Linked DNA regions of Danio rerio. The protein of the gene in region 2 binds, or shares a complex with, the protein of the main gene of each other region. Links are inferred from orthologs where the notes say so. Each region holds a gene or a part of one and is shown on either strand. Other genes may lie near its edges.

What was found.
Region 1: the proteins of ppp2r2ab (region 2) and ier5 are in contact, whole or in part, in a cryo-EM structure (PDB 8UO5), measured with the Homo sapiens proteins. The link is inferred for Danio rerio from reciprocal best matches to the Homo sapiens genes PPP2R2A and IER5. Residues at the interface, in NP_002708.1 of Homo sapiens: Glu91, Ile92, Glu93, Glu94, Asp116, Tyr178, His179, Asp197, Leu198, Met222, Leu225, Thr226, Glu227, Val228, Thr230, Ser247, Phe280, Phe281, Glu283, Ile284, Ser287, Cys334, Tyr337, Glu338, Asn339, Asp340, Phe343, Lys345; in NP_057629.2 of Homo sapiens: Ala7, Arg9, Ile10, Ile13, Ser14, Lys17, Arg25, Gly26, Lys29, Leu30, His31, Lys32, Leu34, Leu35, Val36, Leu38, Val39, Leu40, Arg41.

What each region holds. Positions count from the first base shown.
Region 1 is NC_133197.1:16,200,555-16,204,187, forward strand, and holds ier5 (immediate early response gene 5 protein), read left to right. Parts: upstream 1-1,507; 5' UTR 1,508-1,701; coding exon 1,702-2,514; 3' UTR 2,515-2,991; downstream 2,992-3,633. UniProt on the Homo sapiens protein: Plays a role as a transcription factor. Mediates positive transcriptional regulation of several chaperone genes during the heat shock response in a HSF1-dependent manner. Mediates negative transcriptional regulation of CDC25B expression.
Region 2 is NC_133185.1:23,765,598-23,769,430, reverse strand, and holds part of ppp2r2ab (serine/threonine-protein phosphatase 2A 55 kDa regulatory subunit B alpha isoform), read right to left. Parts: intron 3,317-3,833; coding exon 3,204-3,316; intron 888-3,203; coding exon 710-887; intron 592-709; coding exon 427-591; intron 1-426. UniProt on the Homo sapiens protein: Substrate-recognition subunit of protein phosphatase 2A (PP2A) that plays a key role in cell cycle by controlling mitosis entry and exit. Involved in chromosome clustering during late mitosis by mediating dephosphorylation of MKI67.

The DNA.
Region 1 (3,633 bases), on a different chromosome or scaffold from region 2:
CGGTCGGCTTAGAAAGTAAAGCTGCATAAATTATTAATCAACTCCCGGTTTTATTTATAGTATCAGTTGCCAGTTTCCCATCAACGCGCAGAACTGCAACTGTAGAATCAGCACTAGATGAGATAGCGGGATACATGATTATTTTATAGAGCATTTCAATGTGTTCATGTCCTTATCAAACTATTACTGTAACAAGAGGCGATTTAATCATACATTAAAACAGCTCTCACGACATTATTTATCAATGTGTGGATCTTTTTAGATTCTCAAAGGCTATAGGAATAAATATGTGAAACAGAAAATACATTGGGACAATTGTTTTTGTTTACATCCCTCAAAATGGTCTATATGGACGTTGTTTTTTTTAATGAACAACAATTTAATCGCCCCTTTAAAAACAGGAGCTTAACACAACAACAGGGTGCTGATTTATGACTGATAGTAAATAATAATGCTTTCATTTTCATTTATCTGTGTGAGCTACTTCAAACAAAGCATTGCAGAATAAATTGTGCGGTAGTCATGGCTGTAATCGTTTATATATAGATAAACAGTCTTACGTCACAGCCTGCTCTTCCTGTCAGGTTTGTTTATGACCCACATCTTAATGCAGGCAGACTCACAAACCAACACGCACGGATTATTCATTTAAGAACCAGACATACACACGCAAAACGAAAGCATCGACGTGATCTTAATCTTCAATTGAGGGTAAAATCTCCCACACTGTTCGTGAGTAGCTGCTAACTGTTTCTTCAAACAAAACATTGCCCTTCCCCCCACGGGCAGCTCCATTCACATTTGCCCAGACACCGCAGTGGATTTGCACAATAGAGTCATGTGACACGACTGTAGCAGACAAACCATTACATCAGTCGAGGAAGTCAGTTGAAAAAAATTAAAGGGGAAGTAGCCTTCTTTCCCTTTTACCAGAAAACACAACGATACACTATGCGGAAACCGTGTGATGGTTATTATGTAGCGATGGATATATCTGAAATGTTAATATTTTGAAACAAAACATATTACATAAAGGGATAATTCTGGAAAACAACGTTAAATGTAAATCATGTTTTGGTATACGTGTATAGGGTCACATTTGGCTTGTTTTAGCTTCTGTTTACTTGTGAAAACGGTGTTGTGTTTCAAATATAGTTTATTTTTAACTTTCTAAACAAATACAGCCTGAAAAACACTGAGAAATATAAAAATATCCGTCTATTTTAGCTTGAAAACAATTCTTTCCCTTTAAGCAGTTCTCCCACGTTAGTATTTAAATATGACTCATAGCTGAAGCGCCCTTTCATTGGCTATCGCCTGTTTGGCGGGGTGTGATTCACAACTGTGGCAGAGCGCAACTCGCAACGCGATTGGCTAGTGTAGCCGCTGACGCCGGAGTATAAATGCGAGTTAAAAATAGAAACGGTCTCATTCCTCCCTAGACCATTGTTGGGTGCTGAAGAGAATGTGTGAGGTAATAAAATCTCCTACACTCACCCAATAACAAGATCTTGTATTTTGTATATGAGAATGAAGCCAACAAAACACGGGATTTGATCTACAGGAGGAACGGAAAAGCACTTGGACGTTGTTGTTTACTAACGGCTTTCGCGTTAACGTTTTGAAGAGAGAGGAAATCAAAGGCGAAACGCCCGGCGAACTTTGCACCGTTTGTGAACTTTAAACGTATCGATTCCAGCTATGGAATACAAAGTGGAGGCCCATCGGATTATGAGTATCTCCTTAGGGAAGATCTACAACTCACGCGTTCAGCGAGGCGGCATTAAACTGCATAAAAACCTACTGGTTTCACTGGTCCTCCGAAGCGCGCGCCAGGTCTATCTGAGTGACTACTACAGCGGCGCGTGCCTGAACGCTCAGAGTGAACGCGAAGGGAACGAGTGGGACATCACCGACTCCGAGCGGGAGAAATTCCCTCCCTCTACAACGGAATGTGACCGAGTAGAGAGCCCTGAGGAACCTCAACTCACCGAACAGCCCGAGGCGAGCGAGAAAGAGCGGGAATATCGCGAAAACGACGCTGAGAAATCAGAACGAGTGGATTGTACTTCCACTTCTGAGCAAGAAAGCAACCAAAACTCTTCTTTAGACTCGGTTTCAACGGAAACCACTACGGAGAGTCCCTCAGACACTACAGTAGCGGAACGCGACTCAACGCCTGTGGTGGTGAACGGGGAATCACATCAACCACCCAAAACGCATGTTTGTTCTTCAAACAGGAAAAGAAGCGCAGAGGAGTCAGAAAGTGGCGATGCGCCTCAAAAAAGGACCAAAGTTGCTTCCTCAAACACGAAGGAAGACGAGGAAGAAGCCGAGGAGATGGACACGGGGAACGTCTCCAACCTCATAACAATATTTGGTTCCAGTTTCTCAGGACTTCTCAGCAAAGATGGCACCAAACCTGAGGCCGAGGCAGAGGAAAGCGGTCAAATCTGCTGCGACCAAATGTTGAAAAACCTAAACCCATGGAGTACAGCAATTGTAGCTTTCTAACTGTATCGTACTGTACTTCTCATAACACGTGGTCAGGCCTGGGCTTCAACAACGTACTATGGGGGACTTCCCAGAAAGCATGCGTGGTGGTGCCACCAGAAGCACAAGCTCGTTTTGGCCTGGACTTGCCTTTCTTCTAGTGAAGGAACTATTTGAATGCTGGTGCTACTCTTTGGGATTAACAGTTCTTGAAGTGTTGAACTCTCAAAAGCCATGTGAGCGAATGGTATTACAACAATATGCAAACGTGTCATGAAGGGTCAATATTACATTGTCGCTGAAACAATTCAGGGTCGATCAACTTGACTGTACGAGGGTCAGGCCACTGTTTTTAACGTCTTTGTTTTATAAAGACCTGTACATTTTGTAATATCCGAGTGTGTGTATATATTGTCGCCAATGTCGCATTCTGAATCTATGTATTTTGGTATCATGACAATTTACGTGGAGCTCACGTATTAAAAAAATGTGAAATTACCATATTGTTTCTGTCCTTTATGTTCATGAATATTCAAAACTAATGTAATGATGTCAGCTTTTAATTTATATTTAAATATAAAAAAATTCCAGCTTAGGGGTAGGCCGATAATTGATGATATATCAAATCGTGATAAAATTTACATCAGTAACCGATAAACTCTGGACTTTTTTACTCTATATTGATCTAAGAGCCAATCACACAGCAGAAACGTCCTACAATGGGAATCTAAAATTGAGATGTACCAAATTTTTGGCCACCGAATATTTATCGGACGAAAATGTTATGCAATTTGGACCTTCTAATTGTTGTGGCTTCTGTCATTGTTTTAAATCTGCAAGTATTACCAACTTCTATCAAAATATATATCTCGTTATCGTTAAATATGGAAAATAATTGTCAAGATTACATTTTTGCCATATCGCCCAGCCCTACTCCAGGTTCCCACTGAACAAAGCTTAATATAATTTTGTATCCATCACCTGCAGATCTAACAGATAATCTAATCTTTTGGGGTTAATTTGAATCTAACAACTATAAATTGAGGATTAGTACGAAAATGTCAACCACTGCTTCCCCAAACAAACTAATTTAGCTGGATCAACAAGTTTGAGAAGAACAAGAATGTTCAGCTGCTGTTC
Region 2 (3,833 bases):
ATTAATCAACATCAACAAAGAAAAATACTGTAATAAATGTATTGTGCATTGTTTATTCATTTAAATAAATACATTATCCACGCATACTGTAAAAATCTCTATCGACTGATACCCTCATATATATATATATCTCAGTGGGTGGTGTGTCATTTTTTCAGCTTGACTATTGTTACATACAAATATAAAAATAAACACGGCCTGATTTCACTTGTGTCAAATTGCAGAGCTCAAGCACAAGCACACTGCTATTATTACAGTATTTCCTAACTGCTGTCATTTTAGTTTATATTTATAATAAGAGGGAAAACACACAGCCCAAAGGGCATTATTCTAAAAAGTTGCTTTCAGCAGTGCGGATTTTACAAAACACTAAATCCAGTACTTGATTCAGTAGTGTAGATGACGTGGTCTGCTCCTATAACTCACATTTAGAGTGCTTGTCACAAAGTGCTGATGCACGCATGTCACACAGGCGGATGGTGCCTTTGCTGCTGCTGTAGACAAACGTGTTACATTGGTGAGGGTGAAACTCTGCGGCTGTGATAACCTCCGTTAGGTCCTCCATGTTGGCTGGTTTAATGTCCACAATGTCTGACACAAGAGTTAAAGCCACATAACACTGTTGAACCGACATCAAAAGCCACATCAATAAAACACAACATTTTAAACCACAGGAATTCTCCTTTATCTGCTGTATTTTGTAGGATACTGAAGCTGCGGTCTGTGATCTCCAAGTGCCACAAGTTAATGCGCAGGTCGTCTGCAGACAGATAGGTCTCATTGTCGCTGTTGACCGAGATGGAGTTGATGTGGTAGGTGTGAGCGTTGGCAAAGACCCTTCGCGGACTGGCCTCCACCATGAGATCCATAGGCCTAAATACTGGCACCTGCACAAACCGTTCACTCGCTTAATTGTTGAAATAGGCAGATGAGCATGTGACTCCTACATTTTTCTGTCATAGAAAGATGCAAGATGTAGAACTGCTGCAAAAACATTGCAAAATGCACTACTGCTTTGGTTATTTGAGACCATGCACCACAAACCTAGTGTTATGTTGCATGGGTATATTTTTGGGAATATCCAAAAATACACAGTAGGGCTCAAAATGATCTGATTTTAATTTGATCCCAAAAATTATGAGTAAATTTCTCTAAATTTCCTTCCACCAATAAATAAAACATGATTGTTAGTTAGTAATATACATTTCTAAAAAATAGTTGTACATCAAACAGTATGTCACACCACACATCAATGAAAAGCTTATTTATAATAGTATTTATATGATAAAGCTTATTTTCAAAAAATTGAGCCTTATGATTGGTTTTGTGGTCAAGTGTCACATTGATTGAAAATTAACACATAAATTTTACAAAGATGAAATAAACAGATCAAAAGTGAGATTAATGACAATTTTAATCTTGCTAAAGCCTTCTATTTTAAATAAGTGATATTTTAAAGCTTGCATTTATCAATACTTTGATCTAATATTACAGAATAATCATGTACTGGATGCAGTGTTGCCAACTTAGCAATTTTGTTGCTACCTTTAGCAACTTATTACCCTAGTAATAGTAGTCATATTACCCTAGCAACTTTTTTTCAAAAAAGCACCTAGCAACAAATTTAGCAATTTTTAACATTCATTTGGCTACCTTTAGCAATTTTAAAAGAGTAAGTTGCTAGCTCAGATTGTTTTTCATAACTGCTCATTCACTGATATTTGTTAACATGTATAATTGTTAGTAATTTAGGTAGTAATAAATTCCAATAGTGCTATAATTGTTGTCACTTTCACAATATTGTCAAATATTTTAATTTCACAAGTTAAAAAGAGTTAGTACACAAGCTGTGATTGTTTAAAAGAATGTAACTATTTATTAGCAGTTTTACAGATGAAAATATACAATTATTATCAAAAAGTGTTTGTATTACTTTTACTTTTAATACAAATCTAAATGGACATATTTTGAATAATGTTTTTGCTGAGATGGCCAGTCAACTTGAGAAAACATTAATTATTTTGTATACTACATGAAGATGTAGTTTTGAGTTACGCAAAGTAATATGTTAATAAAAACCTATTTATTGTGCATCTGGATGTAATGTTTTAATATAGTATAATACACGGCACCACAGAGAGTAGAGACATGACGGGCTTACGCTTGTCAGATATTATGCGATGACGTCACTTATATGCAAATTAGTGTGTGATGTCATCTGGCAACATTTAGCTACTTTTCATTGGAAATAGTTGGCAACACTGGCTGGATGTCTGAATGCATTCAATAACAAATGTTTAGACTATGAAAGTAATTCAATCAAATTTGTTTTTCGACTACCTTTGTAATTGGTCAAGTGGATGAGCCCAAATCATTTCAGTAGAGATGCACCAAACGCAATTTTCTTTACAATTTTTTTGGTAAGTGTGACTTTTGTAATTAATTTGTTAGTACAGATTTTTGCTGATTCCATCGTTTTTTTCTTCTTCTTCTAAGTACTATAATTCACAGTATACACAAACAAAAACAGTTTTATTGCATATTGCAAAATTAACACATTATAAAAATTAACACATTACTAAAAAAAAAAAAAAAAAAAAAAAACATTATCAAAAACCCAAATACACCAGTTTTCTCTAATATGCTCGACAAAAAAAAAAAGTTTTATTTCCACTCTTTGTAAACGAAACTTTTTTACATTTCATTAAACAAAAGTCCAAAGATTAAATATGCATATGTAATATGTTGATTAATATTTGTATGTATTCTTTTGCTCTACTATTTTATAGATACTTATTTTCTGATATTTTCAATATTGTTCTAATGAAGCACTTACTAAAAACTTAAACATAATTGTTTTTTTTCTCCCTCTGAAGGCAATGAGTAGAACAGTAGTATTTATCACTCATTTAGCAAATGCTTTACAAATACTCAGCAAATGCTTTAAAAAAGACAATATTTGAAAGCTGACAGTATTAATCTGTCAAATTCTGTCAGTTAATGGGTAACTGGTCAAAATGTTAGAATGAATGTCTCTGATGTCATTGCCTGCACCGCCATTAACATTATGGACCGTCTGCTCAACAGTCAGGCTGATTATGCAAAATAACAGCTAATTCCAGTTGTCAGCTGGTCATTCGGTCCATCTCTACATTTCGGTCACGATTTACACCTTTATTTAAAATTTTGTACTCGTAACTCACCCGTAGAGTTGTGATGGTAGAAGCATCTCTATAGCGTCCATCCTCTTCTTTCAGATTGTATCCCTCTGGTCTCTTGTCCCGCTCACTGATCTTCCACAACTTTATAGTTTTATCTGCAATTATAATATTATAGAATTTCTCCCCAAGTGCAAGACCAGCAATACAACTCATGCTGAAATAATCATGAAAAAAAAGCCTATTTCCACATACAGTATAATAATAGCAAGTATGACTGGCATAACGAACGGAGTTGACAGTTCCCCAAATTCTGAAAACATCTGGACATTTTTCCCATGTCTAATTTGAACTCTGCCCCACAAATATCTACCCATCTTCCAGTGTGTGGGTGAACAGAAAACCCAGCATTCAGTCTATTCAAGACAGCCTTAAATACACACCGGTTGCATAACACAACAGAGAGTTTGTATTTTTAGACAGAATGGAGATGCATGGGTGAGTCAGGAAAAAGTCTGGAGAATTTGCAGGGTTTAAAGCAACTTAAGTAGTTATTAAATGGTTCTCCAGTAAAGAAAAAAAGAAGAAATATTCTGTATTTACTATTGTATAGATGCATATATCAGTCTGCACAAACGCTATGTCGATTACAAACTAGAAATGAAAAAGGGTTAA